3 linked regions of the Neurospora crassa OR74A genome follow. The protein of the gene in region 3 binds, or shares a complex with, the protein of the main gene of each other region. Links are inferred from orthologs where the notes say so. Each region holds a gene or a part of one and is shown on either strand. Other genes may lie near its edges.

Evidence for each region. Proteins that work in one complex are often made in the same cells at the same time.
Region 1: NCU03343 (region 3) and NCU02951 share a complex: the UniProt entries of both Saccharomyces cerevisiae proteins name them as parts of the mitochondrial small ribosomal subunit. The link is inferred for Neurospora crassa OR74A from reciprocal best matches to the Saccharomyces cerevisiae genes RSM25 and MRPS8.
Region 2: NCU03343 (region 3) and NCU06542 share a complex: the UniProt entries of both Saccharomyces cerevisiae proteins name them as parts of the mitochondrial small ribosomal subunit. The link is inferred for Neurospora crassa OR74A from reciprocal best matches to the Saccharomyces cerevisiae genes RSM25 and MRPS12.

What each region holds. Positions count from the first base shown.
Region 1 is NC_026501.1:8,604,317-8,609,658, forward strand, and holds NCU02951 (mitochondrial 37S ribosomal protein MRPS8), read right to left. Parts: upstream 3,717-5,342; 5' UTR 3,282-3,716; intron 3,186-3,281; 5' UTR 2,926-3,185; coding exon 2,440-2,925; 3' UTR 1,987-2,439; downstream 1-1,986. Other genes in the region: NCU02952 (hypothetical protein), read left to right, coding at 1-58, 228-1,723; NCU02950 (hypothetical protein), read left to right, coding at 4,316-4,353, 4,431-4,597, 4,665-5,342. UniProt on the Saccharomyces cerevisiae protein: Component of the mitochondrial ribosome (mitoribosome), a dedicated translation machinery responsible for the synthesis of mitochondrial genome-encoded proteins, including at least some of the essential transmembrane subunits of the mitochondrial respiratory chain.
Region 2 is NC_026504.1:1,582,873-1,588,021, reverse strand, and holds NCU06542 (putative mitochondrial 37S ribosomal protein MRPS12), read left to right. Parts: upstream 1-2,025; 5' UTR 2,026-2,168; coding exon 2,169-2,324; intron 2,325-2,479; coding exon 2,480-2,773; intron 2,774-2,907; coding exon 2,908-2,982; 3' UTR 2,983-3,163; downstream 3,164-5,149. Other genes in the region: NCU06543 (acyl-CoA dehydrogenase), read right to left, coding at 1-643, 743-834; NCU06541 (alpha-1,2 mannosyltransferase KTR1), read right to left, coding at 3,626-3,693, 3,758-4,046, 4,109-5,011, 5,108-5,149. UniProt on the Saccharomyces cerevisiae protein: Component of the mitochondrial ribosome (mitoribosome), a dedicated translation machinery responsible for the synthesis of mitochondrial genome-encoded proteins, including at least some of the essential transmembrane subunits of the mitochondrial respiratory chain.
Region 3 is NC_026502.1:1,033,662-1,038,738, forward strand, and holds NCU03343 (mitochondrial 37S ribosomal protein RSM25), read right to left. Parts: upstream 2,756-5,077; 5' UTR 2,416-2,755; coding exon 2,030-2,415; intron 1,940-2,029; coding exon 1,603-1,939; 3' UTR 1,422-1,602; downstream 1-1,421. Other genes in the region: NCU03344 (hypothetical protein), read left to right, coding at 408-1,421; NCU03342 (hypothetical protein), read left to right, coding at 3,368-5,077. UniProt on the Saccharomyces cerevisiae protein: Component of the mitochondrial ribosome (mitoribosome), a dedicated translation machinery responsible for the synthesis of mitochondrial genome-encoded proteins, including at least some of the essential transmembrane subunits of the mitochondrial respiratory chain.

The DNA of each region.
Region 1 (5,342 bases), on a different chromosome or scaffold from region 3:
GAGCAGAAGGGGGAGACGAGTCCCCCGGACCGTGGCAGGTCGCCAGTCATCTCTCCAAGTAAGCAGTCTTCTGTTCCGCCATCTTCCACTTCCAATTGTCGCCATTTCCATCACCTCGCTGTTTGCCTCTTCTCCAACTGCACTGGTCATCTTGGGTGTTGTTATCAACCACAACATCACACTATGCATGGACCGGACTAATAGCTAGTGTCTTTTTCAACCTCTAGCCGATTCTCCTAGGCCTTTGAACAAGATTAAAACGAGCTTCATTGCGGTTGAGAAAGGTGGAAGACTCGGGCTTCAACGAGAAGGCAGCAACGACTCCGAGACGCCCACACAACAAGCCCCAGCCGGCCCAGGCGACATCACAAGTCCTTTTGCTCCATCAGAAAAAGCCAATGCCGTTGACCAGATTATGGAGAAAACACCAGCACCGGCGAGTCCCGAGGCGAGCCGTATACCGGCCGAGTCTCCAAAAGCGAACCAAAATGCTCAGAGTCCGATACACTCTGCTCCAGAACCACGAGCACAGAATGTAGAATCTTCGGCTAGCGCATCGGCGGAATCCAAGACGTTGGAGCTAGATGGGGCTACCAGCTTATCTACTACGGAGAGTGACTCAAAGTCAGCAGAGAAGACGCAGGCACCCAATGGAGCTGGGGCTGGCAAAGACAAAGAGACAGATCCCAGCAAGCCGGCGGCGCGGACCGTCCCGAAAACAACAACAAAATCGAACCTCCCACCTCTTTCAACGTCTTCGGCCAACAAGACAGTAGCTAAGCCTGCCAAATCCCCCATCACTGCTGAAACCCCCAAGGCGCAAAACCCTACGACCGCATCCAGTCAGACTCCGGGCAAGACCGCTACCCCGAAGCCTTCGGCGGCAAAGACCACGAAACCTCTCGGTTCCTCGCTGAACAAAAAGCCAGCGTCCTTGGCCCCATCTCCTGTCATCACCGGGAGCTCCAAGCCCAAGGCCAAGTCACCTACACGCCCAGCTGCTCTCCCAGAACGCCTTACCACTCATACGGCTGCTTCTGGTTCCAAGCTCGGCAATGCGCGCGCCCAGTCGCAGACTCGCGAGCGAGGTCCTACCCCGGCTAGCCGTTCCTCTAGCAGAGCGAGAGTGCCATCCTCTACTGTGTCGGCACCGAAAACGGCCACCTCGACCCTCAAGAGACAGAACTCGACCAAGAACCGGCCTCGCCCTAGTCTAGGTGTGCCTGTGAAGCAGACCGCGAAGGATCATCCGCCAACGAAGAAGGAGAAGGAAGTGGACGAAGGTTTTTTGGCACGCATGACGCGTCCAACCGCGGCATCCGCCTCCAAGACCGCTGAGAAGGTTGTCACATCGCCACCCAGGAGGTCATCGGCCACGCCCGGACCTGCCGCGAAGAGAAGTCTCAGCAAGCCACGGACCAAAAAACCTGCCACTAAATCTGCAGCACCATCTGCGGCTACGACACCGAAACAGTCTCGTGCTGGTTCAGCTGCGGCCAAGGCTGAGCCGGTTCCCAAGGCAGAAGAAGCTGTTGAGGTGCCCCTCCCCACTGTGACGGAGACTCCTCAAGAAGTTGCTCAGCCGGTAGAGGAAGCCACGGAAGCTCCCCAAACCCCCACTTCTGACGTTCATGTTGTTAAGGAGGAGATGCCAGCCCAGGAGACTGAAGCCGCCCCCTCGTCCGCTGCCGAGGTTGTTGATACCACCGATGCTGACATCTAGGAGCACGGCGAGGAGAAGTCTGCCAGCACTTCGGAATTTAAGCACACTTCTGATTCGTAAAAGGAAGCCAGAAATGGTGGATGTGATCGCTTTTTGGCCTGTAGAGTCTTTTTTAATCACCCCTATTACTTGTTCGAGACAGTGAAAGAGGGGGATGCAGTGTTACTGGGTTAGCACATTTCATGATACCTTTGTAGAAAGACCAATCACACATTTGTAAGAAAGTTGGCGAAGCATGAAGTATGAATGCATAGCAGATAGTGGGTTGTACAGCACCCTGGAGCAGGATGAATCGATCCCTTTTCTTATCAATCTTGGTGATATCTGTTTCCACGGTGAGTGCTGATGATTTAGTTGTCATGCATAGATCATAGCATACAGGATGCCAGCTCGTTGTCTTTCTTGGCCTCATACCTCATATTCACATAGCAAGAACCAAGGATGAGCTCTGCTTTGCCAATGTCTATTCCTTTCCATGTTTGTCCAGTCTTGCTAAGTCGTCTAGTGTACAATGGAATCACATCCGTATCGTACACTGCGCACAGAAATGGTTGGCTCCAGTTCAGGTTTGAGATCCTCCCAAAGTGCGGTGACTCTTCCTCCTCTTCTTCTATTCCTCTCGCTTCCTTCCCAACAATGCCTTCCTTTCACCGAATTCATGTCCTATCCCCACCGTCCATCCTTGAGACCCTCCTCCTTCTTCTTCTTCTACCCATCTATTTTACCTTGCACAAAACCAGCCCACCAACTTTCCTCTCCACTGCCTCCCTAACCTCCAACACACCTCTATCAGTGTTCACAAACAAACACTCGCCCAACTGCAACCCCTTCATGTATCCCGCGGGAAAGCCCCTCGCCACACGGTTCAGCTGTTCCAGGGAGGCAGTCACCAGCCTCGACGGCTTCGAAATCGGCTTCAGCTCCTTCAAGACGGGTTCCTCGTTCCAGTACTTGAGTCCCACCCACAACCGGCGCGTGGCCACGTTGGCACTGGTCACGGGCTCGGGCTCGTAGGTCATGAGGGCCTCGGGCGTGGGCGGGTGAGGACCGCCCCGCGTGATGGAGGAGATGAAGCCTGCGCGGTGCAGGGCCAGGGCCAGGGCGAGGTTGTACTTGGTGTTGGGCAGGGAGGTCAGGCCCAGGCGAGCGCGCGAGGCGTTTTGGAGGTGCGAGCACATGTTGGTGATTTGTTGAATGCCCATTTTGAAGGTTTGATGATGCCCGTGTGGGACTTTTGTGTTGCTGAAGAGAGAGAGAGAAAATGGTATGCACTGGGTGATGGGTTATAAAGAGAGAGAAGTCGGCCGTCGTCGCGTAAGTCGTCGGGTCGATCGGCTGGTATGGCTTGGTCCGTCCGGTGTAGAAGTGCTCGGGAGATGCGGCGGCGAACTGGGGACCTTGCGGGATGAAGAGAAGGATGATGCGGGATGAAGAGAAGGATGATGCGGGTGAGGAATCGGTGCTGCAGCGACGGGGCGTCTTGAGGTTAGTCTAGGCGTGCCGATGAAGATTCGCGGGACAGAAAAAAAAAAAAAAAAAAAGGAAGATTGCAACGCACAACCAATCGGGAGACCGTAGCTGTTGCGCACAGTCGGGTGGCCGTCACGGGTCGGTGGTCGTGATGGAGGAATTCGGACTTCGGAGGAGCCGTAAAAACAAGTGGAGGTTTCGGGACTCGCGAATGCGGCGCGCAACGGGGTCCGGATGCGAATTGCGGTTTCGAGGTCTCGATCGGGATGGCTCCGTTAGGTAAGTTGTGCTGCCGATTTTTTGTCCCCCTGCTGCTCTGTCCGCTTCTGCCGTACGGCACTACGTACGGGCTGGCGGGCGTGCGTGCGTTTGCTTGGCCGCCGGGGCCGTGTGGAGGACGGACAGGGATGGTTCGAGAAAAGACCTCAGGCTGAGCGTTGAAAGAGTGAATGACCTCGGGCAATGACCTCCACTGTGCCTTGCACGAAAGTCACTGCAAAAGAGACCCCTGCTGCCCTGAAAGGCCTCCCGTCCCTCCGCCAGAGAGACCAGAAGGTGTCTGTCCGGTGGGGCTTTCTTGGTAGCTCTCCAGGTTTATTGAGGATGGATCCTGCTTACCCCACCTTTTTTCTTGTCTTTCCCTCCCGCTCCTTTCCCTCCTCGTCAATTGTGAAAGAAGGACTGGAGAGTGTGACAATTGACTTGCTCGTGCTTCTTTCTTGGCATCCCACCTTAAGCGCCCAGGCGGACCATCCAGTGACCATCCAGGACGATGCAACCACCAGGCAAGGTCACCTCTACCGGCACTAGGGGTCGCATCACCGACCTATCGTGCGCGCTGGTTGGATGGCTGTGTGCTGATTGCGCCATGGAGTGAGAGCCGAATGTGAAGAACCAGACCACGGTCTCCTGCAAGGGTATGTAAGAGGTAGGGTACTATCGCAAAGACGCGGAAGCCGAGTGGCTTTTGTTTTCTTTGGGTTCCGTCATCTCTGATATTAGGCGTGATAGCCCTCGGGTGGGAAGCTGAGAAAGTTTGCTGTCTTTCAGTTCTCTCAATCCTTTTTACCGTTGTTGTGTTGTTGTGTTTGTTCACTCAAGCGAGTTCGTTGATCACAAAAGATGGCCGCCCGTGAGGGAGAGGAGAACGTCGGCACGTTGTAAGTTTGTCTTCCGTTGATCCCATAAAGAGGTGATAGTTCCTGGGCGCATTCTGACTGATTGATTCGCTGCATAGCTTTGGTGATATTCACTACTTCTACGGCCCTCCAACAAATAACCCGCCTCATCACAGGTTCGACAAGGGCTCCTATGTATACCTTTTCGAAGATGCCAACTTGGGCCGCGCACGGCTGGAGATTGCGAACCAACCTGGAAGGGAAGACCAGGATGCTTTCGATGGCTGTAAGCATTAGGATTTAGAGTGAGAGCTCGAGACGACAGTGGGAAGGCTAACATCATGTGTCGCCAGACCTCGACAAAACCCATCTCGAGTACGATTACAACCACACCTGCCTTGTAACTTTGACGGTTGGCGAGGTCGAGGGCTACGAGGAGTGGCATCTACCAACATACGACCCTCACAATCAGGCCAAGTACCATTACAAGCTTCACTCGCTCGACATTTACTTTCACAACCATCAAGATGCTCTGCAATTCGTCAATGGCATCCGACGTGTGCTCCCTCCGCACCAGTGCGATGTCCACAACGAGCCAGGACCACCACCTCGGCACGATACCGAAGTCAGCGCGGTAGTCCAGCAACTCGAGAGGGCAGCAATCGCTGACCACGGTACACCCCCGACCACTTTATCACAGCCTCCGCAAGTTGGCGCAATCCAGTCTTTTGCTCCGCCGCCCATGTCTGCAGTGTCTGCTTCCCACGATCACTCGACACCATCGCCTCAAGCATTTGTTCCGATGGCCTATAACCCAGCCGCGCCACCTGCCGCCGAACCCGTACGGTACCGCGAGAAGACGCCTCCCCCAGAGGATGCCGCGGTGAACCCGTTGCACCAGACTCTGGCCTACGATGCGACCACTCCCTTCTCACCAGGCCTGCCTCCCCCCAGCGGCCGCGGACCTTTGAGCCCAGGCATTCCTCCGCCAAACCTACAGCACCCGCCTGGAGCTCCGACCTTTGCTGCTC
Region 2 (5,149 bases), on a different chromosome or scaffold from region 3:
GGCGATGCTGAAGCCCTTCATGCCCTTCTCGACGATGAAGGCGGTAATACCGCGGTAGCCCTTGCTGGGGTCGACATTGGCGAAGACAATAAAGAAGTCGGCCTCCATACTGTTGGTAATCCACATCTTGCTGCCGTTGATCTTGTAGCCGTTTTCGGTCTCGACGGCGCGTGTGGCGAGGGCGAAAGCATCAGAGCCGGAGACGGGCTCGGACAAGCAGAAGGAACCGACGGTGTTGGTAGCCAGCTTGGGGAGGTACTTCTTCTTGAGCGCCTCGCTACCCCAGCGAATGACGGCGGTATTGACAAGGGTGTTGTGGACGTCAACCATGACGGATACCGAGGGGTCGATGCGGGCGAGCTCCTCAATACAAACAATGGCGGCGGTGAAGTTCATGCCGGCACCGCCGTACTCCTCGGGAATCTCGACACCCATAATACCCTGCTCGAAAAGCTGCTCGACAATGGCGGGGTCCATAGCCTCGGCCTCATCCATATCGCGGACCTTGGGAAGAATGACATCGTTGGCGAACTTCTGGACAGTCTCAGCCATGGCGGTCTCAACCTCGGAGAAGTGGGTAATGGGGGTTGGCGGCAGATCGGTTATGTCCCGGCGAGGGGAGGTGGTGGAAAGAGTGCGAGCGCTATGTCGGGAAACCAAGTATTAGCACATCGCCTTCTCCCTCTTCCAGCCCATCTCTTTTGAGACCAGACCAGGCATGAGACGAGATGACAAAACTTACCATTGGACGACGGGAGTTCTGGAGAGTCTGGGAGCGGAAACTGCCTGAGCCCTGCGGACGGCGGGACGCAAAACCCTAGTGAACGACTTCATTGTGTCTGATGCGTATGTGTGATGATTAAAGAACCGATCGGAAACCTGGCGCGAGTGCTGTCTAGGAAGAACGAAGAGGACAGAGATAATGGAAGAAAAGAAGGCGGAAAGGGTATCAAATGCTTGGGGAAGGAGAACTGGAGGTGTGATGGAACGAGCTTCGGGTACTTATAAGTCGCTGGGCACGGTACAGCGGAGCTAACACTAACGACCAGATGAAAGATGTACTTATGTAGCTCCGTAACGATGATCCGTGGAGTATTGGATGGAAGGCAACAATGACAGCGTGGGCTCAAAATAAGGTGAAGAGAGTCCCGATTTCTCTTGACCTTTGCATCGTATGCATCTCCTACACCTTCGATGTGTCTAACCTGTCACTATGCATTTGATATACAGAACAGATCATTATCGCAGAAGCCCACGCGGTATTCGAGGAGATAGGTGCGTACACCTTGATAGCAGGATACCTACGGGCAACCGGGACAAGAGCTCTACTGTTAGCTCTCTCTATCCCTCTCTCTCTCAGTAATTCAAAAGCCAAGCCAGCGGGTAACAAAGGTCAATGGCATTGGCCGGCACACGGCCGATATGCTGTGAACAGCTGGGTCAAGTGTCTCCCCCTCTGCCGAGGTAAGGTCTCCACCATTCACAAAGCTCCGAATCGGGCGGTCCTCTTAAGAGGTCATTTTCCCCACAAAGATTTCCTTGGCCGGGGTAAACGGTGGCCACGACAGGGATGCATTTGGGGGAGACACGGTAGAGACGGGACATCGGAGGAGGGGCACTCTCTCTCGAATGGACCTTGATGATGGCCGGGCACGGGGCACGGCGAGCGGTGACCATTGTTGCTAGACCGTGGATCGTGACTCGTTAATCGCGAATAGCAAACCATGGATCGTGAGCGAGAAGGGAAAACAGAGCCAGACGAGCGATAGAAATGGAATGATGAGGTGCCAACGAACGAGTTTCAGAAAACGAAGGGGAATGGAAAACAAATGCCATGTGACTGTCAGTTTGTCGAAGGCTCACAGCTAACCGATGATTGCCGCACACGACTCGGAGCTTACCCAATGGCTTCCGTCCCTCAAGCACGGCAGTAGGTACGTACCTCTGCTACCTTCTTGGCTCAGCTTATCTCCACGTGTGTCATCCCGTGACACGAAAAAAGTTCCCACACTGGTACCGCCCGCCGCCGCCGGCCCTGCGTGCGCCTGCCGGGCCCGGCCTGGGGAACCGCTATCCTGTACTGTACCGCGTCCTGTTGCGCGCCGCGACCGACCGAACTTGACGATTTCGGAGCATCCCGCCATCAGCAAGATCCACAAGATCACAAGATGGCGACGACTTTCTTGCGGAACTTGTTTTCGCAGGCGCAGCCGTCGCTGCTACGACGGCCGCTGATGCCATCGTCCTCTTCCATCCTTCCTGCTGCTGCGCGGTTGTTCTCCAGCACTCCGGCGCAGAATGCCACTCTTAACCAGGTCATGAGGGTAAGTGATGATGATGAGGCTATCCCCAACCCGCCTACCTCTACCTACCTATGCACCTATCACCACTTTGGTTCCCGTGCTACTACCACAGCCCTATGTCCCGCGTCCAATTCAATCTGATCAAAAGCTAACCACTCTTATCTTCATTCCTCCAGGGTTGCCGTAAGCCCCAACGTGCTCGCCACGCCGTCTCCCCCGCCCTGTCCTCCATCAAGTCTCCCGCGCTCAAGGGTGTATGTGTCAAAGTCGGCATCACGCGTCCCAAGAAGCCCAATTCGGGCGAACGCAAGACTGCCCGTGTCCGTCTTTCCACGGGTAAGGTCATCACGGCCTATATCCCCGGCGAGGGCCACAACATTTCGCAGCACAGCGTCGTGCTCGTGCGTGGCGGCAGAGCCCAGGATTGCCCTGGTGTGAGGTATCATCTTGTTAGAGGTGCTTTGGATTTGGTAAGTTTTTTCCTGAGAAGAAAAATCCCTAGATGGAGACCCCTGGATGGAGGATGGGAGAGAAGGAGAAAAAGGGGAAGATGAGTGTTTAGTTTGTGAAAATGATGTGCTGACAAAGAATGGTGATAAAACAGGCCGGTGTTGCTACTCGTATGTCTAGTCGTAGCAAGTACGGTACCAAGAAGCCCAAGAAGGCCTCTGTTGGTTAAGCAGCTAGCACAACAGAGCACAATTGAGATGATACCCCCCCTGGTTACATGGCAGTAGGATGATGATGATGTGATGTGAGCGTGGTGGAGGTGGTTAAGCTTCATCCATGTAGTTCATCATTCCGCATCCTAAACTATGTGTCCGTGTACTATAAGGAAATAAAAGGTGCATGACAGGATATCGGCGTCCATATTCCTTGTATTACGACTGTCGAAGACTGGCCATGTTCAAGATGATACAACACCGAAGACGAAATACTTCGGGGAAGGACGGAGACACTGGACCAACTGTGTTGCTGTCAGCTTGCCTTTTCACACCTGGCAATACCAGGGTTATCTCAGCAGTCGGTAACAACGAACCTAACCCTAAGTGATTGTGTCATGATTTCCTTAACGCCCCTTATAGCCCTTCCCTATCCATCAAAACACTCAGAACAGGCAGCTTCGTTTTTGCCCAACCTTTCCCATTTATAGGTCCATGTTTCCAGGCAATTGGGTTGTACCACCAATTGAGAACGAAAAAGTCATTATAACGATAATACATTCTAGGGAATGTCCGCTTTTGGTTTTATTTGCAGACCTGTTTTCCCAACATAAAGCCTTAATCCCCACACCCTCAGAACTGTTTCTTCTTCGCCTCCTTCTAATCCGACTGATCTTGCCAGCCTTCTGGCTTCGGAAGACCATTAAGCTCGTAGTACCTCGAAGTGCCTGATAAGTGATTGGGGTCAGTGGACGGCTCAGTAAGAGAAGGGAACTTCCGGGTAAGACTTACAAGAATACCCCTTCCAGTCAAAGTTCTCCTTGGGGTTGCAGTGGCACTTGCGGTCGAGACGGAACTGCTCTCCGGTGGGGCAGTGAGTGAAGGGAACGTGGTAGTAGGCAATGTCGTTGAAGAAGTGGATTTCCTCCTTCTTCAACATCAAGCCGGCGGCAATAGAGTGGACCGGGGCATCGCCCCAGCGCTCATAGAAGAAACCACCATCCTGATCCAGAGACTCGAAGTAGTCGGTGTAGGCCTTGGAGCGAAGCCAGTTGAGGCTACCAATCTCAAAGTTGGACCACTATAATAACATTGTTAGACTAAACTTGTCGCAAGCTGTGAATCCTCACGGAAAATACTTACAAAGTGGCACTTGTTGTAGGTCTTGCCACCATCGTCACTGAGGAAAGCCATGGAGTTGCCCTCAGCAATGTGCTCGGGGTGGTTCTTGATGAACTTGGTAACGCTGTCCCAGAGGGTCGGGATAGTCTCGAAGTACTCGTAAAGGCTGAGCACGAAGCTGTACTTCTTGTTATTCTCGTGCATGAAGCGGAAAGGATCGTAGTGGATGTCGCAGTGGAACTCGACGCTCGGCTCAACGCGCCAGTAGTAGTCGTAGTTCATCATGAGGGGCTGGCGGAAGAAGAAGCCGGACTCAAAGCGGCACATGTGGCGGTAGCTGATACTGTCACCGTAAATGATCTTGCGCTGTCTCATGTCCTCGCGAACCTTTTTGGCCTTCTCCTGGTCAATGTGAGGCGGGAACGACCAGTGCTCGGTCGGAATCTCGCCATAGTACGTCTTGCCGGACACAAGCGAGGAGGTAACCTTCTTGAAGGTTTCGTCAAATGGCTTGTCGTTGAGGAAGACCCAGTCGTAGTTGTAGCGGCGGTTGAAGCGGTCCTCGACCGAGCGGATCGACTTTGCAATTTCCCACACATCGCCGTTGCGAGCCAAGGTGACAAAGGTCGCGTTCATGCGAGGGCCGCCCTTAACCCCAGACAAGTCGTTCCAGCCCGGGTCATTCGGAGTCATGGCCAACGGGTACTGGGCAGGATCGTAGTCGGCGCCATTGCTCTTAGCGGGTGTCTTTTCATCGTGGGCGACTTCGGTGGTGCCTCCGGTGGTACTTCCGGCAGTGCTTCCGGTAGTACTTCCAGTCGATGGCTTCGAGTTTCCGGTGGATTGTTGGAATTTGCCAAAGTTATCTTTTAGGGGGGTCACGACGGATGACGGCGTAGAGATGAAGTAAAGAACGGCGATAACCTAACGTCATGGTTAGTGGGGTACCGGGAAAGCGAACAGCTACTATTGAGTGCAGAGCATTGAGCCAAGAAGTGTACCAGAGATGATCAGACTTACAAAAAAGGCAAGGAGGATGTAGCGCACGTAGCGTGCGCTGCC
Region 3 (5,077 bases):
CTCCATCGCCTTTTGCTCAGTGTCATTTTTTCCACATGCCTCTACGACTTAAAAGCCTTTGATCTTGATGTCATATATCACGCTTTAAATCTTGCCAGATCTAAAACACCCATTCACCTGGAGACACATGTGTCAAGTCGGCATGGGGCTTATATGAGCGAGTCTACATGTTCACCTCCAGACGGCACCAAACAAGCCTCTCCTTCTTACCCCAATTGGATGTGCCCCTTTTGTCATTGTTTATTAGCCCCTTTATTTTGGAAGGCGTGACTTCAGGAAACCTCCAAACAAAACACGTTATCAAGATTCGACGAGGTGACACCATCAAGTACCCAGACTCCATATTCAAAGAATGTGAAACTAATTATACCAATAGAATTTTGAAGAGACCTTTGGGGCTCTCTAGAATGGCCCCTACTACTTCAGCGTCCGTGCTGGCGGGCAAGGAAGAATCGCGCAATGATCAAGAGCTAAAGCCCGACACCAGAGCTGAGAGCTACTCTCAGTTACATGTTGAGACTGTGAGCGGCATCAACTTGACAGCAGCCACCTTTGTTGCGGGTGCAGCATCCTCCACCGCAGCCGGGCTTCTCCTCTCTGGTCTATCATGGCTATGGCTCATCTCCCTCGTCATCACCGTCGGGATAGTGCTTGGTACCTTTATTGTCTACCGGCACTTTGAAATGATACGCCGGCGTCAAAAGCCAGGTGGCAGCTGGCTCGTCCCCAGCAATACGCCCCAACCCAATGCCGCTGGCACACAAGTTCCCAACACCACCTCTCTTCCTGCTATTTACTTCACATATATACTTGGCTCTGGTGGACACACTGCTGAGATGATTGAGACCATCAAGCAGTCATTTCGCGGCCAGGCAAACATCCACCGGCGGTACATCATCTCCATCGGAGACACTTCCTCTCTCGGCAAGGCCCGCCTTCTGGAAGCGACTATCAAGGACGCCTATCCCGGAGAAGATGATCGAGCAGGCACCTCTGATATCTTCTTAATCCGCCGTGCGCGCAAGGTCCATCAACCGCTCTATACGGCACCCTTTACCTGCCTCATATCCGCCTTTCATGCCGCCAATGCCCTCACACGGATGCCCAACCCACGGTCAACAAAGGATCATGGAAAGGGATTCAGATACCCGCATGTGATTGTTACAAATGGGCCTGCCAACGGCTTTATTGTGTGTTTGGTGGCCCACTTGCTCAAGATATTCTACCTCGTACCCGAAAACAGGGCCAAGGTGGTGTACATCGAGACCTGGGCCAGGTCCAAGACGATGAGTCTGACGGGGAAGTTGTTTCTAAAAACGGGCATTGCCGATGTTGTCGGTGTGCAGCACGAGAGTCTGGCGAAAATATTCAAGGGCAGTCAGTATATCGGGCCGGTGTCTGCCGGGTTTCTTCGAAGATAGGCGACCAGGCTCCTGAATCACATGTACTTCTACAAAGTCTCTTGCCCTCTCTATATGTACAAAGAGACGTGATATTCTTACACTTGTGCACGAGTGGGCCGGCATCGTCTTTCCCCGACACGGATGGGTATCAGCCACGCTATACCACTCTGTCCCTCCCCTTTTACTCCAATTCGTTGCCTTAATTCTGCGCGAGCAGCTCGTCCTCCTCAGATTCCTCGAGCGCAGAGTTGTCGACGACATTGGTGTACATGGAAGCCCTGGCAGATTCCTGGCGGGCGATCTCGGTCGTAGCCCACTTCTTCCAACTCTCATACGTCTTGTTCTCGAGCTCCATGCCGACCGTCAGAAGGTCCTTGCCAAAGTAGCCACCAACCATGCGGGCCTCCTCGACGGCTATCCTGCGCTCCATCTGCTCCAACTGCCTCAACTTGTAGAACTCGTGGCGCGCCTTGTCGTAGGCTTCCTGCTTGGTCATGCCTTGATTCTCCATAAGCCAGAGCTGACGTTGAACGACACTATCGTTTGCGATTCGGGTTAGCATCCAATTTCCATGCCTGTCCGCCGGGCTTTTGCGCCATGTGCAATGCGCTCATCCAACAACGTACCTCTCGCCGGACAAGGGGATGCCGCGTTGCCTGAGGCCCTTGGACCAGTCAAGGAAACGGGCGTCCTTGCCATCCAACTCGATAATCATCCTAGGCCTGGCCAACTCCCAAGGGTGGTCGCGGTAGAAGTCGCGGCGCAACTCATCTTCGGGATAGACGATCTTGGTGGGCCTAAAGAGGTTGCGTGGCTTGCGCGCTCGCGGGTTCGGCGGAGAGTGCTGGATCGGATACGGTCTGGTGTTGATCTCAGCGGGAGGGATGGACTCGATGGCCTTGAGCCACAGTGGTGGGTTCCGTGGTGGCAGGCCAGAGACGATGTTGGTGGCAGCAGCCTCGCTGGCCCTCTGGTAGACCTTTGCGGCCTGGAAGATGCGCCCCTTGCCCATCTTGTCCGGTCGTCGCTGGCGGCGTTTGGGTGTTGTGGAGGGAATTACTGGTGATAATCGACGGCAGCGGTGGTGTTGGCTGAGATCAGAGGACCATTGGCGGATTCGGCGGTCCTTTCGTTCCTCAGGTACCCTCCCAAGGCAAAGGCAAGGCTACGAGGTTACGGGGTGTGTATACCTGTGTAAGGTAATAATAATACACTGCGCTGCGCTGCGTAGGCACAATGGATTCCCTCACCCGCCAAACCTATCGTTATCGCTATTTGCTTAGCTTTGTCCAAAGTGGAGCTGTGCCTTTTGGAGACAGGCACGATCCGACACGACCTTCAGTTGTTGCCGGTAACCCGCGCGACCTGCTGTCCTGCCTGCCGCGAGCGGGCGAGCAATTGGAAGGACGTGCCGGCAAAAAAAAAATAGTTCCCCGCCCCGCCATTAAGCGACCAAAGGGAAGGGAAGTACCTAGCTAGGTGCTTATCGATAACAGAAGTGGGGGTCTTGAGCCCGGCCGAGACTGGACCCTATTCCAGCTTCCCCTCTTTCGTAGAGGCAGGGGTGGGGTGTGCTCACGGCAAGGTACCTGGAGCTGTGCCTCGTCCATGTATTGTAGTGTACACCACTACACTACCCCAACTTTTTCTCAATCATCGCGTCGCTCACCCGACCCCAGTTTCCTGCCACATCCCTCCTCACTTCATGACTCGAGTTCTCCCCATTCTCCCCATACTTCCCCGCCCTCCACGAATCTGACGCCCTGACCACATCGACCTGAGTACGATCCAATTCGCCAGTAACCGCGATTGCATCGAGTGCCAATCGAGTGCGCAGCAGCCAGCAGCTTGTGATTGCGTCTTCTCTGAGCTCTTCTTCATCGAATTGCGGCCGACACTCGCGGGGAACAGGCAAGAAAAGGTTGGCTGAATGGGCAGGCCATCATGTTGGACGGCGGCAGCTCATGAAAGTCTCCAGCCGATTTGAAGGGTCGATATGCGGCACCATCTTCTTGCATCGTCCGTCGTGGAATTGGTCTGCCATTGCCGCCTCCGCAACCGCAATTGCTGCCACCAGTTCCGTGTCGCAAACCACAGCATCCATCCAGCTCGGTGACCAAGGCAGCGGACGAAGAAGACAGGTTGCGACAGCAGGCCTCGGCCCAGTACAACAACGACGGTGCTTCCACGGCAGCTGGAGCTCACAAAGTGGTGGCCTTGTCGATGGGGTCGCGAGGAGACCCATAGGCGGCTCCACCGGTTGCCCGCTACTGACCACCCCATCCCTGCGGGTAACTCCCACCAGTCTGTCCGGCACGAACAGCAGACGAGCACTCGACTCCAACTTCTTCCGCTATTCGGTCTCTGCTCCCCAAAAGCGGAGCCACACGGCGGCGGCGGCGGCGGCGGCAGCCCCGGTCCCTGACCCCGTTGCCGCAGCTGCCCCCGAACCCAGTGCCGATCAGAAGCCCGCCGACTCTGTCTTCTCGGCCCCATCCGCGCTACATGACGATCTATCGACCGAGTCCCACTCGGGCGCAAACCCACAATCACAAGAGCTGCCCGAATCCCACAGTGCGAAGCTCGGTCATCTCACCAAAGAAGAGCTGCTTGAACTGGTAGATCCCTATCATGATCTAGATGGAACGGTCGAAGACTACCTCAAGTTCATTCGCGATCCTTACATGCATAATTATGCGCCCGCTGATAGGCCCCGGTTCACCTTTGTACAAAATGAAGATGACTACGAGTATCCAGGCCCGGACGAAGTGGTTGGACTGGACGAATTTGGCCAACACACACTGAGCGATCTCAGGTTTGCTGTACTCGTGCGGCTGCGCACTCCACACAAGGTTGACCTTGACACGATCTACGACCTCTACCAGCAACTGCCGGAACCGCGCATGCCCTACATCAATGGTCGATTGCGACATCAGCTCCTAAAAGCATTAGGGCAGCCTCAGCGGAGAAACTCCAAGTCCATGCTGCGGTACTTCGCCGTCATAGCGGATGTGAGGAACTGCAGCATGCCCTTGACGGCAGGGGAGTGGAATTGCGCCATCTCTTTTGCAAGCCGATATGTTGGCACTGTCACCGAAACTCAGGCGCAGTCTGCCATGAGACTGTGGCGCGAGATGGAAGTCGACGCTGGCATCAAGGCGACCGAGGTAACCTTCAACATTTTGTTTGATGTGGCCTCGAAGGCTGGCAACTTCACTCTCGCTGAAATGATTTACCAAGAAATGGTCAGTCGTGGGCACTATTTCAACCGCTATCACCACGTAAGCTTGATCCATTTCTTTGGGCTCAAGAGGGAGACTGGTGGACTGCGCGCCGCGTTTCGGGAGATGGTTGAGGCCGGCGAGATGATTGACACGGTTGTCCTCAACGCCGTCATATCTGGACTGTTGCGATCGGGCGAGGAAGCAGCGGCCGAGCGTATTTATGCTCGCATGGTGGCTTCTATCGCGAAGTGGTCGGAGGTGTCATTCCCAACCCGGAGCTATGCCAGCGATCGCGCCATCACCCAGGCGCTGAAGATGATGGCCCGGGTTGCAAAGAAAGCTCCCGAGTTGCAACACAGCTTTCAAGAGATGGTACCAATGCATCCGAACCTTCGGACGTATAGCATTCTGGTCAAATATTACGGCGTTCGGTGCGGAGATCTCTCCCGC